3 linked regions of the Oryzias latipes genome follow. The protein of the gene in region 1 binds, or shares a complex with, the protein of each later gene. Links are inferred from orthologs where the notes say so. Each region holds a gene or a part of one and is shown in the gene's direction. Other genes may lie near its edges.

Region 1 (3,049 bases):
AACCTAATCATGGGAAAAGTGAAATGTTGCATCCCTGCAGCATACCAGCTGTTATGCTACGTTTAAGAGGGATTTACTGTTTATTAAGGATGCAGTGATACACTTTCAATTCAGTTTAAATTTCAATTTTTGCGTCACGATTTTGCTTGCTTGCATGATTTGTGTATTGCAGACCAACAACAACAACAAAAGAAATTCTGAAAAACCCTTTTTTTAAATTGCTAAATGACAATAAAGAAAAACTTTTCAGATGGTTTTAGCTTAGCCTTGTGTAATGTAATATAACAATAAATACATGCAATACAACAATGAACAATAAATTCTTCATCAATTTAGCACAATACGTTTGACACTTTCAACGTAACCATATTGGTACGCAGTAGAGATGAAACGGTTCACTTGACCAATGATGCAGTTCAGCCGTGTAACACACGGATCGGTTTTGGTTTGTAATTGTGACATCCTTAGTGTTTGTTGCTTTATTGCATTACACTAGGTTCAGTATAAGCCACATAAAGGGTTTCTCTGCATTATCTGCAAATTTAAAAAAAGGGATTTTCCCAATTTTTTGTGTTTTTTGTCGTTGTTTTGTAATGCACAAATATGTATATTTTTAAAACATGAATGAGACCCAGAACTTGAATGTTGCCCTTTTACCTTCTTTAGAATTCTGTGGAGGGAGACCAATTTGTCCAGGGCCCAGCTGTGCAGATGGAGTCACTCTCTGGTGAGGTTAAAAAAAGTATTGACATACTTCCTCATTCTCTCTTTCTGCTTAAGTGTTTTTAAATCTCACTTGATCCTCTTCCTCCTCCTCTTCGTCTTCTTGCTTGGTGGATAACAGGGCAGACAGAGCCCTGAGGGTCTCCTCGGATGATAAACCCACATAATCCATTGGAAAGAAAACGTGTTATTCAAAAGATGGATGTTAAAACTAACACTAGCCTTGTTTAGGTGTAGAATGTAGTCACCAAAAAAAGGCCACAACGACCGTAATATCTGACAGACACTAAAGTTCGCAGCTGCTATGCTAACTGCACGTTTGGAACGTTGACGCTCGTCACCATGGAAACAAATGGGTTTCAGGCTGCCATGGAAACCAACAAAAAAAGAAAAGAAAAAATTTATTTCTTTAGCAAAGATGAACTGACTAAAGAACATTTTTGTAACATTATTTCTTTTTTTAGAACATTTTTAACTTAAGGCAGGAAGAGTCTAGAATATTTTTTATCCAACAATCAGATTTTTTTAATGGAATATAAAGTCGTGTTCATAAAAAAAAACAACTTCAATCACGTTATTTTTATATTCATTTAAATGAACAAATACAATTTTACAATACAAGTTTACTGTCAAAGCAAAACGAACGCAAATATCTGGGAGGCGGCGTCATGATTTGTGTCCCTTCTCGGACACCGTAGCTGATGTATGGCCCTCAGGGATCATGTTCAAGGTGACAGGTAGTGCCATGCCGGGATCCACGCGCTTGCTGCCGCTCGTTTGGGCTGCTGATGCCGCAGATGGTGGGGAGAAAGAGCCCGAGGCCCGGTTAAAGCTGGATGACCTGTCCCTGTACACCGCTCCTCAAAAGCCTCACTATGTGGAGCCAGCGGCGGGGCAGCTTGAGGAGCACGTCGCCACCCTCAGGAAGTTAGTTGAGCCCTACACGGGATGGTGTCAGGCCACCGTCGGTAAACTGAAACCCAAAGTGGAGAGTCTCGTGCAGTCCGGAAATGACTCCTACGTCTACCTGCAGAACCATCCCAAGGATTTCTACGCGCAAGCGGGGATCATCGGCTTCACGGGGCTCCTCGGATTGTTCCTCGCAAGAGGCTCCAGGGTTAAGAAGTTAATCTACCCCGCTGGTCTGATGACCGTGAGCGCCTCCTTGTACTACCCGGAGGAGGCGGTGACCATCGCAAAGTCAACCGGGGATTCGGTGTACGGATACGCGGTTCGGGGCTTCGCTGCGGCGGAGAAGCTCCTCAGCCCGCAGAGCAAAGACGGAAAAGGCAGCAAGGCAGAGACGAAACCATGACGGATGGATGGATGGATGGACGGACGGACGGACGGACGTCCCCGCGCAGCAATAACGGATCACGCGGCAGCAGCTTTTCTAGTACTGTAGATGATGGACCTGGACAGGTTCCACTCTGATGTCTGCACTATTCCTCATGCTTTACTCAGGCCAGACTTTGCCTTTAATAATTGACCTCTGCTACGGATTTGAATGTATATTTAATGATAAAGATCAATATTTTGCTTTGGATAAAAGAACTTGAAACACTTTAACGGAGTCTCACGTGCTGTCTACTGTTACTTGAATAGGACAAAAAGTACTAAATGAAGTTACTGAGGAAATACAAAGTAAATATATTTAAAGTTTTTTCATAATTATTCCTCCACTTTAAGAGTTCTGTGCATTTGACCAAATCCTCTTTATAATCTGAAATAAAGAGTTTAAACACTATTGTCACTTTGAAACCTCAAAGAGTAAATGTAAGCTGAATAAACACGCAATACCACTGTCACAAATACTCAACATGTTTTCTTAATTAGTGGTAAACTTAAATTTGAGATGTTCTTATATGTAAGATCCACCCCACCCCAAAGAAAACATCATGATGCGACTGTTTAACATTTTATTTGCTTCAGCCAAACAATAAGAAAGTTTAAATAGTTCATTTCAGGAGAGCAGCACCAGCTTCTCGTGCAGGGCAATCTGTGCCTGGGTGAGGTTGGACAGGTACGTCACCATCAACAGGTCCTGCAGCAAACCACAAGCACGTCCATGTAGAAAATACACACAACTGAATTTCACAGAAACAATTCCAGTTCCACAGTCGTACAGATGCTAGTATCTTTTAATCTTCACAATGTCAAGAAGTACAAAAGGGTAAAAAAAAACCTCATGCAAATTGTAATTACAGTATCAGGGGAAGCACTTACATTGATGTTAGAATTGAGCATGTTCTCAAAGTCCTCAGGTGGGATGGTCGGCACCTTGTTCACCAGGTCTGTGAGGAACCGGCCAACGCTGTTATCTGCT
Region 2 (4,265 bases), on another chromosome or scaffold:
CCGGCTCATCGATGCCCTTCACATCCTCCTCAACCCGCAGGAGCTCACCTTTAACGTTTGTACCGCCCACCCCAACTTAAATGTGTCCACTGACCTGTGCACAGTCAGGTTCACCTCCAACAAGCAGCCCTACATGGACCACCCGGAGCGCTTCACCAGTGCGCCGCAGGTTCTATGCAGCCAGGGCTTCTCCAGCGGTCAGCACGTCTGGGTGGTGGAAGTTGGGCCCAACTGCATGTGGGCCATGGGCGTGTGCTACAAGAGCATCCCACGCCGCGGTGACCACAGCCGTCTGGGTCACAACACCGTGTCTTGGAGACTCCAGTGGAAAAATGGCAAACTCACCGTGTGCAGCTCCTCCAGTAATGTTGTGATTCCAGAGAAAAAGCCTCATCCAACCAAACTGGAGATGGCGCTGGACTATGAGGGTGGAACCCTGACGTTCCACAGCATCAAAGGCAGCAGAGAGCACATCTACACCTTCAAAGCTGTGTTCAAAGAACCCGTTTTCCCAGCATTCAGCATTCATTCAAGCAACCCAGACTCCTGGATCACGCTTCATAATGGAATGTAGAATGACTGTTCACTATCAACTTTACAGAACATTTTGGAGATCCACAAGCCAAGGCATTCCTTTAACACGAAAGCTTTGTTCTTTTTTTTGTTTATAAAAGACACAAACTATCATTTATGGTGTATCATATGTTTTAAATTCCTAAATGTTAATTTAAATCTTGTAATGACAAAAGTATTGACTTATTGATGGGGAGGAATTACTGAGAAACAATAATTCTAAATATATTTACACTTATGAGCAAAAAACAACTAATACAATAAAACATGTTTACAGTTTTTTCTTTTTTTTACATTTCTGTTAAAACAATTAAATAGAAAGTACATAGACACTGGCTGATTCACCTTTTTTGGTAAAGAGGTCTTAGTTTTGTCTCCTATTTTCTTTTTTTTCCAAACTATAGTAAAACGTGTGCACCTGCACCAGCTGTCAATGTCATTGTGCAAAGTTAACCCGGTGAACCACCATGGAAAGAAGAATTATAGACATGTTTTGTGTTTGGGGGTTAAATAAACTTTGAACAGAATGTTTGCTGTCTGTTGGCAAACGTTTGACTCATCGTTACCATAAAGATTTATTATTTTTATTTACTTTTAAAGGTACTTTTAATTAAATTGTATAAAATGCAGCATATGGTGTAAGCGTTGCCAAATCTGATGATAACCCCCTAAATTTACTAAAGTATTTTGCAAGTATTGCAACTTTTAAATTTTTAAGAAATGTTTAAAAAAAATTGCTGCTTCACTTAAAATAAATAAATAAAAATCAATCATATGAAAAGGTTACTGCACTTACACGCAAACATCGGGTCATTTGGGGACATTTCCAAGCAAACCTGGCAACCCGCATCCCATCTGTCACACATTCTGTCATTGGACAGGGGCTTAACGGAATTCTTTGATAGTACTATCAGTATTTTCATTAAAGAGGGGGGGCTCATTCTAACAAACGGCATGGGCTTAGGGGAAAGTACGACCAGAAAAGTGTCTTATGGCGTGGATGAGGAGGACAGAGTCCGGATCCTTCGCGGAGTAAAGGTAATTATGCTACTTCTGCTAGCGTGTGATGATAAGGCTAATAGGGTGTGTGGAGCGCTGACTCCCCGCCGAAAGATGTCTCCTCCACATCTAAATGTACTCCAAGCGAAGGCAGAGCTTCGTCCAGAACCCACGAAACAAGTGGCGAAACGGTGAGGACAGACGGGGAGGAAGGGGCTGGCTCAGCAGGGATGAACCAAAGTGACCTTTTCGGTTACGCCGAACCTCGTTCGTAAACAAGCGCTTTTTAGCGTTCCTTCATTATTTTCCAACAAAACAAAAACATTTCATAAACTTTCAACACATCTCATAACTCTTTGGTGTGTTATAGTGAATTCGGCGCAAATATTATCTACATTGATGCGTAAATATTGTTTTAAATGACGCGTTTGGACTTTAGCATGTTGCTTGGGTTTTGGCTAATATCTTAATCGAATTCAGCTAATAATAGCAACAAATAAGGGACGAATAAAACATGAAAAACAAACTACACAGACTGGGCTATACTATTATTTGTTTTGTTAATAAATTACATTTGTAAGCGAGGCTCTGTGTTAATTTAACAGTTTTAATTGAACAGATTTTAAATCAAGTTTGGTTTAATAGCTGGCTTGACAGTGATGCGTTCACGACCAATACTAGGAGTAGGAATTGAGCGATCGGCCACTCAGCAAAGTGTAATAAATGACATTTATGCAGCCAAATAAAATCAACATTAGTTTTTCTACACCATAACTGTCTGTGTGTTTTATTGTTGGGGAAGTTCAGAATTATTTAAAAAGCTTTTAGCTGTACACATCCAGCCGAATGAGGGGTTGCAGTTTAGATCTTTCTTTGTGTTTTGACTGACTTTTTCTATTTCATTTTTAAAAATAAATTTTAAGGTAATTCTTACATTTAATGGCTGCATGGGGGTAAAAACCCATACCAATGTAGTTGGCCCCTTTTTAAAACGTTTTGCTATTATATAAGTCTTTTTTTTGCAGTTTACTGAAAAAAACTTTGTTTAAACAAAGAAAAAAGAAAAAGAAACGCTGGTTACACATGTAAAGTTGTGAGTCACAGAATCAGTGACTCATAGACTTGATCTGCCTCCTGTGGTTTTTCATGTAGCTATTTATTTTTTTTAGCCATTTTTCCTGGGCCATTCACAAGCAGGCGCCCAAATTAAATAGGCCTGCTGTGTTTCCTCAAACATTCATGGTATTCTGAGTTTTTATAGCTATTGCAGAGTTGAGATCTTTATGCTTATAATCTGGATATTGTGACTAAGCGAGCTCTTTTTTTTCTTTACCAGCTGTCAGAAGATGTTCTTCAGAGGATGCGAGGAGTAGCCAACATCAGTCAATCATCACTGTCCTCAGGCCCTCAAGGAGACAAAGGTATAGTTCACTTCACAATTGGTGAATTATTTTGTGTCCCACAAGAAAAGTCTTTGCTGAAAACATCCAAAGTGCCCGTCCTGATAGCTGAGATACATATAAGTTTGTGTCTCAGGTGGAGACGATCACCTGTCTGGGTTTTAACACAAGAATCTGTGTCACAGGAGGTTTTTTTTTTTTCTGTTTTTGGTCGACACAACACAAAAGTCTGGGTCTTGCTTGAGTACAATTCCCAGAAGGCTGAAGGTTCCACAGTTATCAGTTGTTGAAACAGTGTTTGGGTATAAACATCATGGGAGCACAAAGGCATCACACCTCTGAGAAACCCTCCGTCCCGGTAAGGACCACGCTCTGGTGGTCACAACCCTCCAGAGACAGTGGAGGCTGTGGGAAAAAATACAGATTTGGTCATTCTGCATGAACAAGTTGGTAGTGGGGGGTGATAAAGAAATGATCAATCTGGGGAAAAAACATGATTATCAATTGAGGAAATACATAAATTACAGCTAAAAGCCCCCCCCCCCCCCCCCCCCCCCCCCCCAATCAGGCTTTCTTGGCTTTAGACACATAGGGGTCCACAAATTTTGATTGGACTGTTCCCTGTCCCCCCCCCCCCAGGATTGGGTGGGGCTAGGGGTCCCTTGCGCCCCTGACCTTGCAGCTCTTTTTCCACGCGGGGAGGACGTCCACATCTGAGCTGGGTAGGGCAGTATCGCCCGTGGAGCGGGAAGGACCCCTTTTCTTGGGACTCCAGGGCCCCCCCAATTTTTCCATCGTTGCTCACAGCAACCGGAGCCTGGTCCTCGGGCTCACCGGGCCCTGGCCCTGTCTGGGGCCTCTGCTGGTCGCTGGTTTCTGCCGCTTCCCCCGGTTTGTCTTCGGCGGGGCTGCGCAGTGCGGGCTGGCCATGGGTGTTCCAGGCCTGCCTCGGGGGTGGGGGCGGATGGGGGCTCAGGACTCCCGGACGGTGGCGTGCCTCTGATCTGGGTGCCGGTTGTAAGTCCCGCGTGGTCGCGTTTGGGGTGGAGCGGGTCGCTGCCCTGGCGGGGGGCCCCGGCTCTGCGCGCTCTCTGTTTCTCTTACTTCTTGACGGGGGGTTGCTGGGTCTTGCCCTCTGGTTCCGTCTCTGTGGTGGCGGGCCCGCGGTCTGCCCCTAGCTCTGGGGTGTGGGTGGGCTGGAGCATTCAGTGTGATGAAGGTACACTATAAGCAGCACAGTGTGTGAATGTGTGTGTGTGAATGTGTGTGCATGGGTGAATGGGACTGTGACTG
Region 3 (4,220 bases), on another chromosome or scaffold:
TTTATAAACAAATGATGATGATGATCTAAAAAAACATTTATGTTACCCTGAACTGACTGATAACAACTGGTCCTTATATGTGTGATAACACAGAAGTGTACAAAGATCCAACCGCAGTCATGCGGCGTTTATAATTGCCCCATGAAGAGATAGCGGCTCACAGAACCTCCTATAGTATCAGAACACGTTTCAACCTGTGACCCTGAGCTCTGATTGAGCGCTGCTGGAGTTTGTTACAGTTGTTAAGGATGGTGATATTACCAGAGGATAGCATGAAAACTGACTGATCAGCTTTTCTGCATGAAAGCTGCGCTCGCTGAGGTCAGGCCTCTCAGCCACTGAAGCAGATTCTAACCGTTTACCTGGTTTCCACTCCCACTTTTCCCAGAGGGAATAGTAAACCCTCAGCAACATTATTGTGCATAGGTAAATTAATTCAGTGCAGAAATGTTCACAATTTCATCCTATTTATATATGTTTGAGCTGACTATTTAGAGCAAAGGGGAAAAAACCGGAATAGTCAGCTCAATATGCAAGTAAAGACATGAACCTGTGGCCCCATTCGCCAATAAGCAAAGGTAATGTTATCTTTATGATCCTCGTTATGTTGCCATGGCACACAAATCTGTGAATGGTAGATAACTCCAAATTAATGATAGCAACAGGAAACATTCAATGAGTATTAAAAATTAATTAAAATAAGCATACAAAGAAACCCAACTGCGAAAAATGACTGATCATTTCTGCAAAATGCGGTTTTAGGAACACATGCACGCCCCAGAAGGTCCACTAACATCCACCCTGAGCCTCAAACCCTTAAATAATAAGACTGACTAAAAAATGAAACAGATTTCTGCTCACCTGGATCAAAAGTGGGTGAAGTCCACTTGACAGCTAAAAAAACTACACATAAACTGACTATCAAGACTTTAGTAAAAGCCATTTTGGAAAAAGCAGCAACTGGTCTGACTGCTGGGTTTTGTGGAATTGTGCTGATCTGTGGTTATACAACGGCTGCATTTGGCAACACTGCTCTCAGACAAGTTCAGGGAGGTCCCATGGAAAAAAGTACATCTGTTAAACGCCCCATTTCACTGTTTTTCTTGCGATTTGGGCGTGAACTTCACATTAGACACACCCCTTTGAAAAATCATTTTTCATTTTTAGATATAATTTTTAAACATTTTTATTTAAAAAGTATTTACCTGTGATTTAAAAAGTTAAATAAAATAAAGCATTAGAAAGTGAGGCAGAACGAATGTGTTGCTCTGCAGCGGAACTAAGTTTCCAAGATCCAACTTTATTAACACAGCTGTGGTTGACAGGACAAGAATCCGGCTTGTCCTTCAGTGCAGCTGCTAGGTTTGACTTCTTTCAGGTCACAGTCGTGGCTTCGGGATAGTTCGGTTACCCGTGGATCATGGCGACAAAGCTTTTGCCTGTAGTGAAGTTAGTTCATTTTTACTTTACAAATGTTCGGAGAAGTGATGCTAAATGCGGGATTAGCCGACTAGCTAGCTAATCAAACTAGCTAGCAAAGCTAACAAATGTTCTTTGCCTGTTTAGCTAACTCTAATATAAACTATGTGTTCTGTATCTGTATCCACAAAACTGAATGTTAATTTACTCATTTATAATTTACTCATTTGTACTCAGCGCGTCTTGAGAAGTTTCTAAAGTCCTTTAGTTTCTCTGTCAAACCAACGTTTTAAAATGTTTACTTGTGTTATCATCTCTGTCTCAACGATCTTTGATGACCTGCGTTTCATGATGGACTCTGATTACCTGCAGACTCGCGACCAAGGTGGGCATAGCGGGAGGGGCTGTGTATGTGGCCTATGACTCCGGGCTGCTGGGGGGCAGCGAACAAGGTTCTGAGGCCCTACAGAAGGCCAGAGCCGCTGTCCCCCCCGCCATTGAGGAGTGGATGAAGTACTTCGGTCTTCAGGTACAAACAAACTAGGTTTGAGTGAGAGGTCTTTGGGTTTGTTTGGTCTTTGGTGACTTCTCCTGGGGTTAAAGAGGACCGTTATAGATCTGCACATTAATGCATCCCTTAAGTTTCACTGGTCCCATTAACTAATACACAACCTCCTCTTTTTATTTCTCTGTCAGCAGACTCAGCTTCCAACCATCCCTAACGTTGAATTTTCTCCGGTCCAGGCGTGGAACTCTGGTAAGAGCTGACGGACATTTTTGGGTTTTCCTCTATAAGAGAAACAGTTTGTCATTTCACTGCTGAGTTTGTGCCTCTGTGTTTGCAGGGGGTCTACAGATTTGCTCAAGTGAAATTTAAGGATTTTAAAATTTAAGACCCTATATGCACAAAAATAGAAACAGAGAGTTGGGAGTCTGTGGTTTCTTGCTCTACACGTGATTCCATTGCTATGATCCTTGCTATGTAAAGTTTAAATGTCTTTCAGCAAACCGCAGAGTTTGCTTCATAAAGATTTCCACTTATAAGTTTAACCACTACGACTAATCCCTATTTCCAAGACACACACTGCTGAGCACGAGCTAATAAGCTAGCAGAGGTGAAACGATTTACCACCAGTTAATAACCTTATGACACAGCGCATCCCAGAAATGTTCTTTTTTTTTTGGGTGACAGGTCACATCAGTCGATGAGAAATTTAAAACCTGTTCGTAAGAATTTAGCTGAAGAGACTGATGATGGGAAGTGGGGGAAGGCTTACCAAAAGTCCCGCCCACAACTCAAAGGGGAATTTCAAATGAGCTCCTGCAGAAACTGTCCTGGAAAATGACAGGTTTTTAGACTAAAAATGGCAATAAGAACACTGGGAACGCTTTGAAAAGAGATCAACAGATGATCCGAGTGGGACCTTAAGACAATTTAATGCTTTACAAGACTTTATTGTAGTTCAACAAAACATGAGACTTTTTAAGGATCTGCAGCCACCTGGGTTTGTGTGCACGTCTTCAATCAGCTTTCGCCTTCAGTTTTCCTTAAATTTGTCTTGTGAGACCTGAAAACCGTTTCTTTTTAATTGCAGGAGTGCGGTGGACGATTTCCAGACTTTCTGAAGCTCCAACAAAAGCGAGTGAAATGACGACTCAGGGGTTTCAGTTTGTGAAAGACCTCCTCAAGTGAACCCCCCCGGTATCAGTTTTACTTTTGCACTCAACAGCTCACTTTGGAGAGGTTCAGCCTCGTTCCTCCCCAAGTGGAAGGTTATGGTAACACATTACTACTCCTAAATCAGCCCTAGAAAAGCAGTTGTTTATGAAGAGGCATGTAATGAAGACTGAGCTTATTGTAAGGAAATGAAGTATTTAAAGAACCTCTTCTTTGCTGTAAACCAACTCATTTTACCCACCAAGCAAGGTTTTTTCTCAGTCTAAATGTCCAAAAGTTGTAAATATTCTAGTTGACCTTTTCATGCCTTCTTTAGTGTCTCATGTTCAAGTTCTGGTCATGACAATGTCTATAAAAAAAACACCAATCATATGCACAAAAACTTTATTTGTTCCATAACATTGACACGAAACACAGGAAACCAAAGCGTCAGTTGAGCATCCGAACCTCCAGGGCTCCCCAGCTCTGATGTTTAGTGTCTGTTTTAAATCTCGTTATTTCCACATGTAGAAATAAAGTTTCCTAACTTCAGGCACGGTTTCACTGTTTCATGCAACTTTAACGGAGAAATCCAGAACCGAAGAGCTAAAGAACTGCGGTTTCATCACATTAAGTTTGATGAAATCACTTCTGCAAGCAAATATAAGAGTACAAGACGAGAATTCCTGTGGCGGTTACAATAGTCTGTTAGCTGGAAGTCCACATGTTTACTACAGATGTTGTTATGATCATACAGAGAATGTACACACCAGCAGAACTATCTCCTCTTCATTTAAAGCATTTTGCAGTTTTTTAAAACAAAAAAAGTATATTCTAGGAAACGAGTTCCTCCTTTACTTGAATCTGAATATGTAAACGTTACACAATAAAGTGCTCCTCACAACACAACAGTGAGAGAATACAATGGATAAGGATGCATTTCCCATCAAACCAACGGCTGCACAGCTTTCCTGACGGGGTCAGTGTCGCTGTTGAGGGAGGGGGACTAAAGAGCGGCTGTCAGGGGCAACGAACTGATTCCAACAGGCCAGAAGGCACTTTGATGATGTGGGGGTGTTCACATTCAAACGCAAGGCTGCTGTCTTCATCCAGACGGGTTTCTAGTCCGTGATACCTCCGACAC

Evidence for each region.
Region 2: MICOS complex subunit MIC26 (region 1) and MICOS complex subunit mic25a-like share a complex: the UniProt entries of both Homo sapiens proteins name them as parts of the mitochondrial contact site and cristae organizing system (MICOS) complex. The link is inferred for Oryzias latipes from reciprocal best matches to the Homo sapiens genes APOO and CHCHD6.
Region 3: MICOS complex subunit MIC26 (region 1) and c4h19orf70 share a complex: the UniProt entries of both Homo sapiens proteins name them as parts of the mitochondrial contact site and cristae organizing system (MICOS) complex. The link is inferred for Oryzias latipes from reciprocal best matches to the Homo sapiens genes APOO and MICOS13.

The regions. Positions count from the first base shown.
Region 1 is NC_019875.2:2,473,200-2,476,248, reverse strand, and holds MICOS complex subunit MIC26, read left to right. Parts: upstream 1-1,420; 5' UTR 1,421-1,444; coding exon 1,445-2,038; 3' UTR 2,039-2,528; downstream 2,529-3,049. Other genes in the region: protein PIH1D3, read right to left, coding at 658-724, 797-895; eif3f (eukaryotic translation initiation factor 3 subunit F), read right to left, coding at 2,687-2,767, 2,950-3,049. UniProt on the Homo sapiens protein: Component of the MICOS complex, a large protein complex of the mitochondrial inner membrane that plays crucial roles in the maintenance of crista junctions, inner membrane architecture, and formation of contact sites to the outer membrane.
Region 2 is NC_019865.2:2,285,719-2,289,983, forward strand, and holds the start of MICOS complex subunit mic25a-like, read left to right. Parts: upstream 1-1,414; 5' UTR 1,415-1,527; coding exon 1,528-1,611; intron 1,612-2,908; coding exon 2,909-2,993; intron 2,994-4,265. Other genes in the region: E3 ubiquitin/ISG15 ligase TRIM25, read left to right, coding at 1-574. UniProt on the Homo sapiens protein: Component of the MICOS complex, a large protein complex of the mitochondrial inner membrane that plays crucial roles in the maintenance of crista junctions, inner membrane architecture, and formation of contact sites to the outer membrane.
Region 3 is NC_019862.2:7,384,415-7,388,634, reverse strand, and holds c4h19orf70 (MICOS complex subunit MIC13), read left to right. Parts: upstream 1-1,297; 5' UTR 1,298-1,420; coding exon 1,421-1,449; intron 1,450-1,791; coding exon 1,792-1,948; intron 1,949-2,115; coding exon 2,116-2,176; intron 2,177-3,014; coding exon 3,015-3,112; 3' UTR 3,113-3,628; downstream 3,629-4,220. UniProt on the Homo sapiens protein: Component of the MICOS complex, a large protein complex of the mitochondrial inner membrane that plays crucial roles in the maintenance of crista junctions, inner membrane architecture, and formation of contact sites to the outer membrane.